2 linked regions of the Caenorhabditis elegans genome follow. The protein of the gene in region 1 purifies or fractionates together with the protein of each later gene. This does not show direct contact. Each region holds a gene or a part of one and is shown in the gene's direction. Other genes may lie near its edges.

Evidence for each region.
Region 2: the proteins of R09F10.8 (region 1) and C15C6.3 fractionate together in Caenorhabditis elegans (co-fractionation; one large-scale study listed by BioGRID). This does not show direct contact.

What each region holds. Positions count from the first base shown.
Region 1 is NC_003284.9:8,324,445-8,328,273, reverse strand, and holds R09F10.8 (DOMON domain-containing protein), read left to right. Parts: upstream 1-1,822; 5' UTR 1,823-1,825; coding exon 1,826-2,146; intron 2,147-2,199; coding exon 2,200-2,909; intron 2,910-2,957; coding exon 2,958-3,045; 3' UTR 3,046-3,167; downstream 3,168-3,829. Other genes in the region: F55E10.4 (Cubilin), read left to right, coding at 374-715; R09F10.1 (Papain family cysteine protease), read right to left, coding at 3,279-3,351, 3,397-3,577, 3,631-3,809.
Region 2 is NC_003279.8:12,205,512-12,213,338, forward strand, and holds C15C6.3 (YTH domain-containing protein), read left to right. Parts: upstream 1-1,585; 5' UTR 1,586-1,587; coding exon 1,588-1,630; intron 1,631-1,748; coding exon 1,749-2,018; intron 2,019-2,080; coding exon 2,081-2,145; intron 2,146-2,930; coding exon 2,931-3,069; intron 3,070-3,483; coding exon 3,484-3,582; intron 3,583-3,690; coding exon 3,691-4,075; intron 4,076-4,718; coding exon 4,719-5,410; intron 5,411-6,288; coding exon 6,289-6,695; 3' UTR 6,696-7,178; downstream 7,179-7,827. Other genes in the region: C15C6.2 (DUF7778 domain-containing protein), read left to right, coding at 1-268; popl-4 (Ribonuclease P protein subunit p29), read left to right, coding at 7,619-7,673.

The sequences.
Region 1 (3,829 bases):
CATTAAAATATTATATAATGATACAATATAGAAAAGTATTTGCTTTATTTGAAAATAACTTTTATTGGCTTATAAATACCGAGAAAGTGCTAAAAAATTGTCCGAAAATTGAAAATTGCCGGTGAAAATTGCCGCCAATTTTTCGACAATTTTCACCGGCAATTTTCAATATTCAGACAATCTTAAAACACTTTCTCGGTTTTTCCAAGTCTAATAAAAATTATTTCCAGATGGAGAAAATAATTTTATATAATCTATTATTAAACTTTAATAAAAAATATCGGGGGAACATGCCCAACCGTCTCATTTTGTACAATTGCCGCGCACCCCTGGTCAGAATATCATTTAAGACTTTAATTTGTTTTTCAGAGACATGTCGGATATTTTGATGTCCACAAACCTCACTACCGAGTATCCGAGGACCAGCATGCAGGATAGTCGTTTGTGGCTCATCTGTCTAGCTCCAAGTGGTTGGCTCTTTGCGGTCATTCTCATCATTTATGCCTTTCGAAAAAACAAACGACGCATGCAAGTTTTCGATATCTATCACCTCAACGAAAGCAACGATCAGGCCCGTGGCAATGCCGATGGAGCACCTCCACAAGAACATCAAGTCCATAACCATGTCAATGGAGGTTATCAAAACGGTCAAGTCGAAGACGACCTTGAGGAAAATGCACATCCACCTCAGGAACGACTACAAGAAAGAGTATAATCCCGATGTTTTTCTATTGATTTCGTATATCATTTGTTGCAGTTTCAAGATACACATTAATAAAAAAACACTCTGAAAAACTAATGTTACTACTGATTATCTTTCACAGACTCCCTCCACAGACATTTAAACTACCGGAATTTTTCACGTATACTGCCTTTCATATTATAAAAGAATCTGGATTGGTTCCATTGTAAAGTAAACTTTCAAATATGAGTATTTTCTTTGGGACGTCTAAAGTTTCACAAACGCTCTTCACTCGAATTTCTTTATTTGCTTGTTCCGGTCTCAATAGTGAGAAACTGGTAACATCCAAAAATCTAACGTTTCATTATTGATATATTATTTTCGGCTCATCGTCTAGGTTCAATTTAATCAACTCATTTGTATGCTGCTCACCTTTGTTTGAGTGGAAACCGCAATAAAAAGGTTCGGCTGAACATTAGCAAACATCATAACTGTTTCCCTAATGCTGTGATAAATATAAAATTGAGAAATTCACGGACCAAACATTCTCAATACAAATCATTTCTCCAGTGCTACGAGTACAATGGTGAATTTGGTTTTTCAGCTATGGAAATAAAAAACAGGAATATATTCAACTTTACCCGCTGAATTTTGTTTTTTTCGGTATTAAAATTTAAAAACTGAATAGAATACAAATTTTATTTATAACATGAAACAGATTTTTGAACTCCTACTCTTTTGTATTTATATTCCGTTTTTGGTCAGTAATCAATTTTGGTAATTATAAAAGCAAACCTGCTCTATCGCATTTTTTTTGATCTACAGACATGAGCGCATCTTTTTTCTCTTTTCACAACAAAAAAACAACAACTCTTAGCATATCTGTGTATCGCGTGTCCCCACACTCTTTCTTCATTCCCTCTTCAGTTCACACACTCTCTCTCTCTCTCTCTCTCTCTCTCTCTCTCTCTCTCTCTCTCTCTCTCTCTCTCTCTCTCTCTCTTGCCTCGTAAGGGCCGCGCAGGTGTGTGCGCGCGCAATGGTTCCGACCATTCGAGAACTCATCAGTCCTTACTTGCCATTTCATTGTTTCATTCCTCTCTCTAACTCTTTTTTCTTAACTCATTTCTTCAATTTCAGGTAATGTCTCCTTTGTGGCTCGTTGTCTTTATAGTCCCACTGGCGTCTGGAATTAGTTTGTCTGATTGTTCTAAAAAGAACTCGTGCTACGGATCTCCGGTCAATTGCCAGCCGGGTATTGATTGCCACGTGCTCCTTCGCTTTGAGGATGATGGCACTTTGGATGTTCACCTGCAAAACTTCACTGCCCCTGATGGATACGTCGCTCTTGCCTATAACTCTAATCAGAATGCCCCTACCGAGTACCTGATCTGCATTCCTCATGAGCGCAAACGTCTTCGTGGAATTTCTTCTCAAGGCGAGATCATAACAATCACTGAGCAGGTATTTTAAGTTTCTGTATGATGGTTCACCGATGTTTATTTAATTATTTTCAGAACATGGCTCAATACGTAGCTCAGATGGACACCAATACATTCATTTGCTCGTTTGTTGGAAAGGAAATTCCTTCCAACTTCAGAATGCAGTCGAATTTTGTGGTTTCTGAAGGATTATTCGCGAATGAGAGCAACATTCCAACGACGTACAAGCTCGAACCCATCAGCACGGACAGTGTCTTCTTCCACCCCATTGCAGCAACCATTGGCCGACAAGACGAAGCCTTATCTGAAGATGAGGAAAAGTTGGCTACGGATCTGCTTGGGAAGGTCCAGAGACTTTCTGATCATGATTCTGAATCTACTGATATGGAGGCAATTCTCAATGAAAAAAACAGATTCACAATTGAGGAATTTGAGGAAAAACTCTTTTCGGCAATGTCTAATCGTCGCCGCCCAATCAAGAAGTTTGAGCGGGAGGAAGAAGATCAAGACGATGATGAATATTCTGAAGTTGAAGAGAAGGAATCGCATCCCAAAAAGCGTCGTGAACATAAGAAAGGGCGCCACACCCGAGTTCTCAGCGACGAGCAAGAAGAGGATTACGATCAATACGAGGATGATATGCCATCGAAGAAAAGAAAACGTCCGTTCAACAGCGAGGAGCTTGAGAATGGCGAAGATGTGGACTTTGGCAAAAAGTCTAACAAAAACAGCAAAAGGGGACGTTCGATGGACAAAGACAGAGATGATGATGATGCTTACAATAGGTAAACGGAATGAACGTTTTTAGATCAAATGAACCATTAATTTTTCAGTTCGGACGATGACTACGACAACAGCTCTGCCAAATTCAAGCACTTCCGCAACGCCATCATCATCCTTGTCTTCTGCATTCATTTCTAAATCCTTGTTAAAAGATCATCGCGGCATATTTTTTAATTATTTATTGCATTAACATTTTGTGCTCCTTTGCGGATTGTTTGATATAACACATCGGGTATCTATTGAAAAGTAAATTAACTTTTTTGAACGACGTGTTTTTTTTCTGAATTCCAAAACATGTTTGAGGACTCTAGATGGAAGTGTTCGGGAAACTGGGATTTTTTATTCGACGAAACACTTAAGTAAATGAGTTTTCAGTTTATTATTGGAGCAACAACGGTATTTGCAAGACCGCAGCTGTTCACTCCTCTCGCCAGACGGAAGTACCTGAGAACGAATAACTGATGAATTTCCGAAACAAAAATCACTAACCCGCTTGCGCCCCATGAAGTTCCCCATGAATTTTTAACAATCCAGTAGGCTGATTCTCCTTCTCCGCCGTATCCAATAATTGTGAGAGCATGAGCTCCCATTGACTTTTCCGTACAGTCTTCAACAGATGGATTAAAAATTCCAGAACGATAACTGTACATTGCTTTGACGACATTCATTCCTGAAAACAAAAAGATGTTGTATATTTTAATGATTTAATAAGGCATTCATTACCAAAAGTGACGGGTCCTTTAGTTCCAACCCAATTTGCGATATCTTCTTCATTATTTGATAACATCCGGAAATCATCAATGAACACCCGAGTGTCATTTTCTTTCAAAAAGCACTGGTCGTGTTTTAAAGCGGAGTAAGGGTATTCTTTTTCGCTTTCCAAGCCATTTTCTTTCACAAATCTTAACTTTTCAGGCTTTCA
Region 2 (7,827 bases), on another chromosome or scaffold:
ACTTCCCCATGTCTCCGTCCGGTCTCTTCGCCAGAAACTCGAGAAGGAGCTCGTCCTGAAGCCTAAGGAGCAAGTGCTCGCCGAGCAACAACACAAAGCCAACTGCGATGAGCCAAGCTTTGTCTCTGAAATCTTCTGCACCCCAAGAGCAGTTTTCAGCGATGAAACTGTAGTTCTGCTGGAGCCAACGAATGCCAGAGAGAGGAGAGAATACGAGGCGCAGGCGGACAGAGAAAATCAGTGGTGGACTAGATCTCTTCGGTGCTAATAGAATTCAATAAAGTATCTTATTTTCCTCGTTTTACAAAAATTAGGGCTCCAGGGAAGCCTATATTGTTGCAGATTTTAGAAATTTCGAGATTTCAGTTTTCCAGCTCAGTTTCTCAAGCAGAAATACCAAAATTTTCAAAAGTTTGCACCCATGGTAACTCTTTTTATGTGACCATAAATATGTGAAAAGATCCAATAAAAAGTTAAGATGGGCTGCACTATTTCGTCGTTTTCTTTTCCACCTCCTACAGTGAACAAATCGCGGCGCGCGCGTATTTTGTTTGTATGTTTTTCGGCCCCGATATGTGCAGCTAGTGAAAGGGAAAAGTGTTCCGTGTTCCCTCGGCGATGGTCAGTTTCCACAGTTTTTAGTTAATTTTTATAGGTTTTTTTTTAATTTTTCACAATTTTAGGGAAAATTAGATATGAAGTAGAAATTTTTACACTGAAATCGACTTAGAATGCCTCTAAATTATGCAATTCCTTATTGTTAAATCTATTAAAATTCGGATAAAATTTTGACAGTGCAAAAATTAGCTAGAAATCTCAGTTTTGTCACCTTTTCCTGCCAGAAATTGATTGTTATTCAATGTCCATCTATTTTGTCTATTTTCGCTGATTTAGGTGCATTTTCAGTAAATATGTGCTCAATTTTTGTTAATTTTGAACCTAAAAACTCGGTTTTCAAAGCTTTATCGAATTTTTAAAATGAAAATCTCCAATTTTACATGTTTTTCTACACACTTTGAACATTTTCGTTGACTTTTCGTAGTTTCTAACCCAATTTTTTGAAAAATTACAAAATCTTCTTATAAATTCATTAATTCACCTTCCAAAATAATAGAAATAATTATTTCTATTAAAAACAATAAACATTGCCCGTCAAATATCGCGCCTGCGTCCCCTGCGGTGTTTGCGTACATCATCGATCTCACTCTCTCCATCTCTCTGCGTCTCTCACCATTTGCCACGTCGCTGGCATCACTCTCACTCTCTCACTCACACACAACAAAACGCGGCGTTCTCTGGACGAATTGCCCGAATTCACGAATAAATCTGCAAATTACCGATGAAAATCGATTCGAAATTCGATTATTTATCCATATAATTATTGATATTTTGTCCCCTTGGCCCCCCGAATTCGCAAAAATGCCTATTTCCCACCAAATCTCACTCACTTCTTCTCACACTTTTTTCCAGTTCTTCTTGAGCATAATTCAAAGGTTGAGTTCGAATTGAATCCTGTGTAAATCTTCCCAGCAGACAAATTTTGGCTTTAAATAATTCGAAAATTATTGATTTTTCGTATTTTAAGGTATGGACGACGAGGATTCACTTTTGGAACGAATCGCCGAAGTTGGTGAGTTTTAGACGATTTTTAGCCGTTTTTTCGTAATTTTTGAGTCATTTTACCCCAAAAAATTATATAAAATTAAAAAACAAAAAATGCAAAATTAAAGTAAAATGCTCAATTTCAGATAATCTAGAAGAAGAAGAAGAAGACGATGAAGTAGTGAAGTCAGGCTCTCCGGAGGCAGAAGCCGAAGCTCTGGACTATAACGAGGATCCAGAGGACGGAGAAGAAGGTGAAGAGAAGGAAGAAGCTTCGGAAGACGGAGAAATTGAGGAAAAAGCTGAGAAATCGGATAAAGAAGATGAAGAAGAGAAAGAAGACGGAGAACTTGAAGACGGCGAGCTCGAGGACAGTGATGACGGCGAAATTAAGGATGATGAGCCGCAAAAACGAGGTAGAAATTGAATTTTTTTTTTATTAAAATAATGGCTTTAAAGTAATTTCCATGAATTTCAGCGCCTATTACGGCTCCAGCTGGGTCCGCTAGAAGGCCCATAGAGGTTGGTTCGAGTATGAATGATGTGAGTCGATGTTGTCCGTCTCGTTTTGCATGGAATCCTGAAAGTAGCCTGAAAAAAGCTAAAAATTGCAATTTTTCGTGTCAGAAATCGATTTTTATTCGTTGTTTCGTGCAATTTGGCACATTTTTGCTCTTTTTTCACAAAAAAAAAGCGCAAAAAATCGGACACCGGCAGGTGGAAACCCGAATTTCGCTATTTTTAAATTAATTTTCCCATAAAATAACCCACAAAGATCAATTTTCACAGTGAAATACGTTTGAAAAGCCCCATTTTCAGTAAAAATGCAATTTTTGGAGTAGTTTTATCGATTAAACCGCAAATTTCGGATAAAACCTTCAATTTTTCTTGTCATAGCGGTTAGAAATCATTTTTTACTGGATTTCTACGATTTTTCGCTCATTTTGGCTCAATTTTAGTCGAAATGTGCACAAAATGCCCTTAAATCAGGGAAAAATCGGTCAAAATGGGCAAAAAATAGTAAAAATTATGTGAAAAGCGATGGAAAACTGCATAATTGTGAATTTTATCCGATTTTTATCATTTTTCCGATAAAATTACCTATTTTTACTGCAAAACTCCAATTTTCCCAATTTTTAGCTTTCTTTTGTCGCTCATTTTAGTCAATTTTATTGGCTTTTTCTGTCTCAAAGCCTAATTTTCAGCGATTTTATTGATTTTTGTGAAATTTTTGAGCTTTTTGATGCATTTTAAGCATGATTTTTAACGTTTTTAATCATATTTTGTGTGAATTTTCTGCTTTCAACCCTCAAATTCTCAATTTTCAGAACCGAATTTCCCGTCCAATGGGTCGACAACTTCCACCAATCCGGAATCATCCATATGTGCCACGTCGCGAAGATCCTGGAACAGTTTCATGGGAAGCTGCACTTTTAGCAGCAAAAAGAGCTGTTAATGGTCGCGAAGGTTGGTAAAAATTGATTTTTCAGCTGAAAATCCGAATTTTTCAGTCCAAAAAACAGAAAAATCCGCAAATTTCGAAGAAAAACACTGAAATTTGCAGTTTTTCAGTGAATTTCAGAGCAATTTTTGATTTTTGGAAGTAAAAAATTCGGCAAAAAATACAAAAAATCTCGGGAAAACTGGAAAAAACTCAAAAAAAACTCAAAATTTCCCTCAAAACCGATAATACTAGCGATTTTTCAATAAAAGTCACTAATTTCATAGAAAATCTCCAATTTTACCACTTTTCATTAAATTTTTTTCAGTTTTCCTGCTGAAAATCTACAAAATAGGCGAAAAACTGCCGACGTTTAGCTAATTTTCATGTTTTTAGACCATTTTTCAGTGTTTTAAAGCTTAAAAATGCTCCAATTTCAGACGCAGAAGCTGATCGAGGATCCACGTCACCTACGGATCCAGACAAACGGGCGATCCCATCGCTTTTGGACATCCGGACCCACAAACCACAAATGAAAGGTTTAATTTTACGCGAAATTTGAAAATAAAACGAGGTTTTTCGGTCCATTTTTTGGCCATTCACCTCTAAAAATGCAATTTTCTACCTAAAAATTCAAATTTTTTCAGATCTCGGCCCACAAGTGATCTACCCGAATCGCGCGCCGCCAAATCCATCATCATCACAAAATCGATTTAAACGTGACTCCGCGCCATCGGCACCGGCTCGCGATGCTCCAATGTTTCGTGGCAGGACCATTAGTCAGCGCCAGGCGCCACCACAAATTACCCGCCGAAATTCGTCAAAATCACCGCCTGCACGTGGAATTAGCTATTCGCCGTCGAAATTCGATGCTCACGAGATATCCAGTGATACAGATGAGGAAGCAATGCAGAAACGACCGCCGAGAGAGCGGAAAATTACACTGAAAAAGGCGAAACGGTCGTCTTCGGTGTCTTCGTCCACTTCTGAGTGCGTAAAAAGACTGTTTTTATGGGAAAATCGTCTAAAAATGTGTTTTTTTCTTCATTTTCAACAAAAATCGCAAATTTGGCGCAAAAATTTGGTTTTTTTCGGCAAAATAATGTGTTTTTCCATTGTTTTTCAATTAAAAATTCGCAAGTGCGGCACGAAAAAAGGGGCGGGGTTTCGTTTTGCAAGTCTGCGGCGCGGCTTTTTATTTTCAGATTTTTCAAGGATTTATTCGTTTTTTTCTTTAAACTAAAATTTTTTTTTTTTTTTTTTTTTCTTTAAACTAATTTCTATTAAACTAAAAACAGTGCCGCAGCCTTGCAAATCGAAACCACGCCCCTTTTTTCGTGCGGCACATGCGGATTGGAAATTTAACGCAACTAAAAATGGTTAAAATTACAATTTTTTCCCAAAAATTCGGAGAAAGTTGCAAAAAAATTGGAAAAATTGACGAAAATTTTCAAAAATCAGAAAAAATTGCACAAATGGCTAAAAAATCGGTAAAAAATTGCCAAAAATCAGAAAACTTTAAAACAAAATTTCAAAAAACCGGAAAAAATTTGCAAAAAAATGGAAAAAAATTCTAAAAATCGGAAAAATTGCAAAAAAAATTCCAAAAAGTTGCGAGAAATCAGTAAATTGGAAAAAAAATCGATAAAAAAACCAAAAAAAATTCTACTTTCAGAGCCACAATCCCTGGAGCCCGTGACATCTCCACCGACTCATCTGACGCCGGATCTTCTAGCAGACGGCGCCGAGCTCGTCGCCGAAGTCACCGATCTCGTTCCCGAACCTATTCAACATCCTCAGATCGTGGAAGCTCATCGAAACGATCCCGTCAGCAGCAGCACATGAAGCGGAAGACTCCATCGTCACCATCACGAAGATCCCGAAGCCGTTCACCTCCACCATATCCACCGGGACACGATAAAAAAATGTTCCAGCAGAAGAAAAAACGGCAGGATAGTGTGGTTACAGGAGATATTCATGCTTATCGGATCCCGAAACGAAGCTCTTCCGGCAGGGATTCTCAGAATTCTTCGTTTTTCAGCAAGAATGGAGCAAGTAGCAGCTCAAGATCTCAAATCAAACGATCTCGTCAAAGATCGGAGACCCCACCGATGGTTCCATCGGCGAAACGTCGGAAGGATGATCAGAAGCAGAAGCTTCGACGTGGAGACACTGCTGGTGGACCTCAGAATATTAGTGGTGATAGTGATGATAGTGCATCGACATTTGACTCTCGGCGAGGAAAAAGGATCTCGAAGATCAAACGGAACCGCCGATCGCCTTCTAAGGAGAGCATCACGTCGAGAAGTAGCTCGTCGAGCTCGTCGAGCAGAAGCAGGAGTCGATCTAGTCATTCGGATAGCTCAGGTGCTGCTTTATTTGGATGAAAATTTTGGGGATTTTTAGCGAAAAAATGGAAACATTTGTTTAAAAAAAAAACCGCCAGAAACTATAAAATATGTCGATTTTAACGGAAATAAGCCTTTAAAATTTGATATTTTCACCCGAAATTTGAAAAAAAAAAGATCAAAAATCGATGAAATTAACTCAATTAACTCAATTTGACACTAAAAAATCGCAAAATTTGAGTTTTAAAAAATTCCGAAAAAAAATCCGAAAAACTATGGTATTTACGTCAAAAAAGAGAAATTCCATTGAAAATTGATTATTTTTTCTAGAAGTTTGAAAAAATCCATCGAGAAATCGATAAAATTTTGGTTTTTCCTGGAAAAAAACCACCCCAAAACTATAGAATCTATTAGAATGCAAAAAATTTGCTAAAAAATGCTGAAATTTGATGAATTTCTATTCATTTTCACCACAAATTTGCCCTAAAATTTCCGAAAAACACCGAATTGCCATGTGTCGATTTACGTGGCTCTCGTGTACTCCTCGAGGAGAAGATTTCGCAAATTTTGGCTTTTTCAATACAAAAATTAGATTTTTCTATTGATTTTCTATTAAAAACCAACACGAAGATTTTTCGAACATTTTTCTCGGCAAAAATTGAAAATTTGAAGAAAAATTGCAGAAATTCATTGGAAAATTTCCCAAAAAAATTCCAAAAAATCAAAAAAAAAATCGCATAAATATATCAGAAAAATTAGAACATTTAATTTTTTCCAAAAAAAATTTTTTTTCGAAAAAACGTCAAAAAATATAAAAAAAAAACGAAAAAATAGTGATTTTCTTTGAAAAAATCAGAAAAAATCGCCAAAATTATTCAAAAATTAATTTTTTTCCAGATTCCTCCAGCTCCAAACTTCCATCTCGCTACCGCCAAAAACTTCCAACGGAGCAAGAGAAAATCAGCTCCGATGAGGATGAGCCAGCGGAGCCAATTGCTCAAAAAGCTGCAGCTCCAGTGAGCCCAAATCCAGCTTCATCGCGCTCCGCATCACCGGAGCCAGCTCAGCAAGTCGATGAGCTTCTGGAATCCGAAGAAGCTGCTCCACCACCACCACCTCCACCGCCACCAGAAAATGAGCCGGAGGAATTTCCACCACCACCACCGTCGATTTCGATTCGGGAAACGAAGAAACAGTTGAAAATGCGGCTGAAATCAATCAATAAAATGCTGGAAATTCAAAAATCCTCCCCGTTGCTCGAGGGAAATTCATCGGAGAGCTCGGCCACGGCGACTGCTCAATGAGCACTAATTTCTTGGGATTTTTAATTCAAAAAGTTGAAAAATAGTCTAAAAAGCTGAAAAAAACCGAGCAATTTCGCTGATTGGTCCAAAAGTGGGCGGAGCGAATCGCTGATTGGTCGCAGTTGAATTTTTCATTTTTTGTTTTTTTTTCAATTTTTTGAAGCAAAATCCCTAGAAATAAATTAAATTTCATATTTTATTTATTTATTCCCCATCTCCTCCCACCCACATCTAAAGTGCAATAGAGCACGCTTTCTCTCTCTCGTTTTTGCTACGGTTTTTCAATTTTTCCCTTCTTTTCTCTCTACCAAAATCGCTATAATATTTTTTTTTAATTGGGTTTTTTCAATTATTTTACCCCGAACCCCCCCTCCCCGTCGGTTTTTGTGATTGTTTAGAAATATTTTTATGTGTGGTTTAGTTTTTGAAACTTTTTCTGTTTTTTTTTTGTCTATATAAATACAATATCTGGGAATTTTTAAAGATTTTTTGTGTATTTTTTGGGTTTAGAGACGATTTAATATTCAGAAAATGACTTATTTCTTTTTAAAAACTACTATTTGAATATATGGAAGAGCTGGCCGTGTAAAACCTCTTCCACGGCCATGTGTCGATTTACAAGACTCGTGTACTCCCCGTGGAGAAGATCTTGCAGTTATTTGCTATTTTTCACTTAAACCACTAAACGAAACAAAAAATAATTTTAAAAAGTGTAAAACCACGTATTTTGAAAAAAAAGGAAAATCTTCTCCTCGGGGAGTACACGAGCTGCGTAAATCTACATTTCACCGATATTTCCCAAAAAAATTCGAAAAAAAACCATCAAAATTGATGAAATTTTTGAAATTGTTCCCAGAAATTTGAAAAAAAATACAATTTTACTAAAATATCCGTTTTTTTCCAGAATTCTATCGAAAAAAAAAATGAGCAAAGACGTACGAATTGGAGAGCCAGGAGAATCCACGTCTCGGGGAGGAGGTAATTTTCAATTTTTGAGAAAAAAATAAATTGAAATTTTGAACTAAAAATGATAATTTTCCGTAAAAAATTGGAAAAACAATCAAAAAATCGTCAAAAAATCAATAAATTTACGAAAAAATCGATAAATTTTCCGTAAAAATCAATTTTTTTG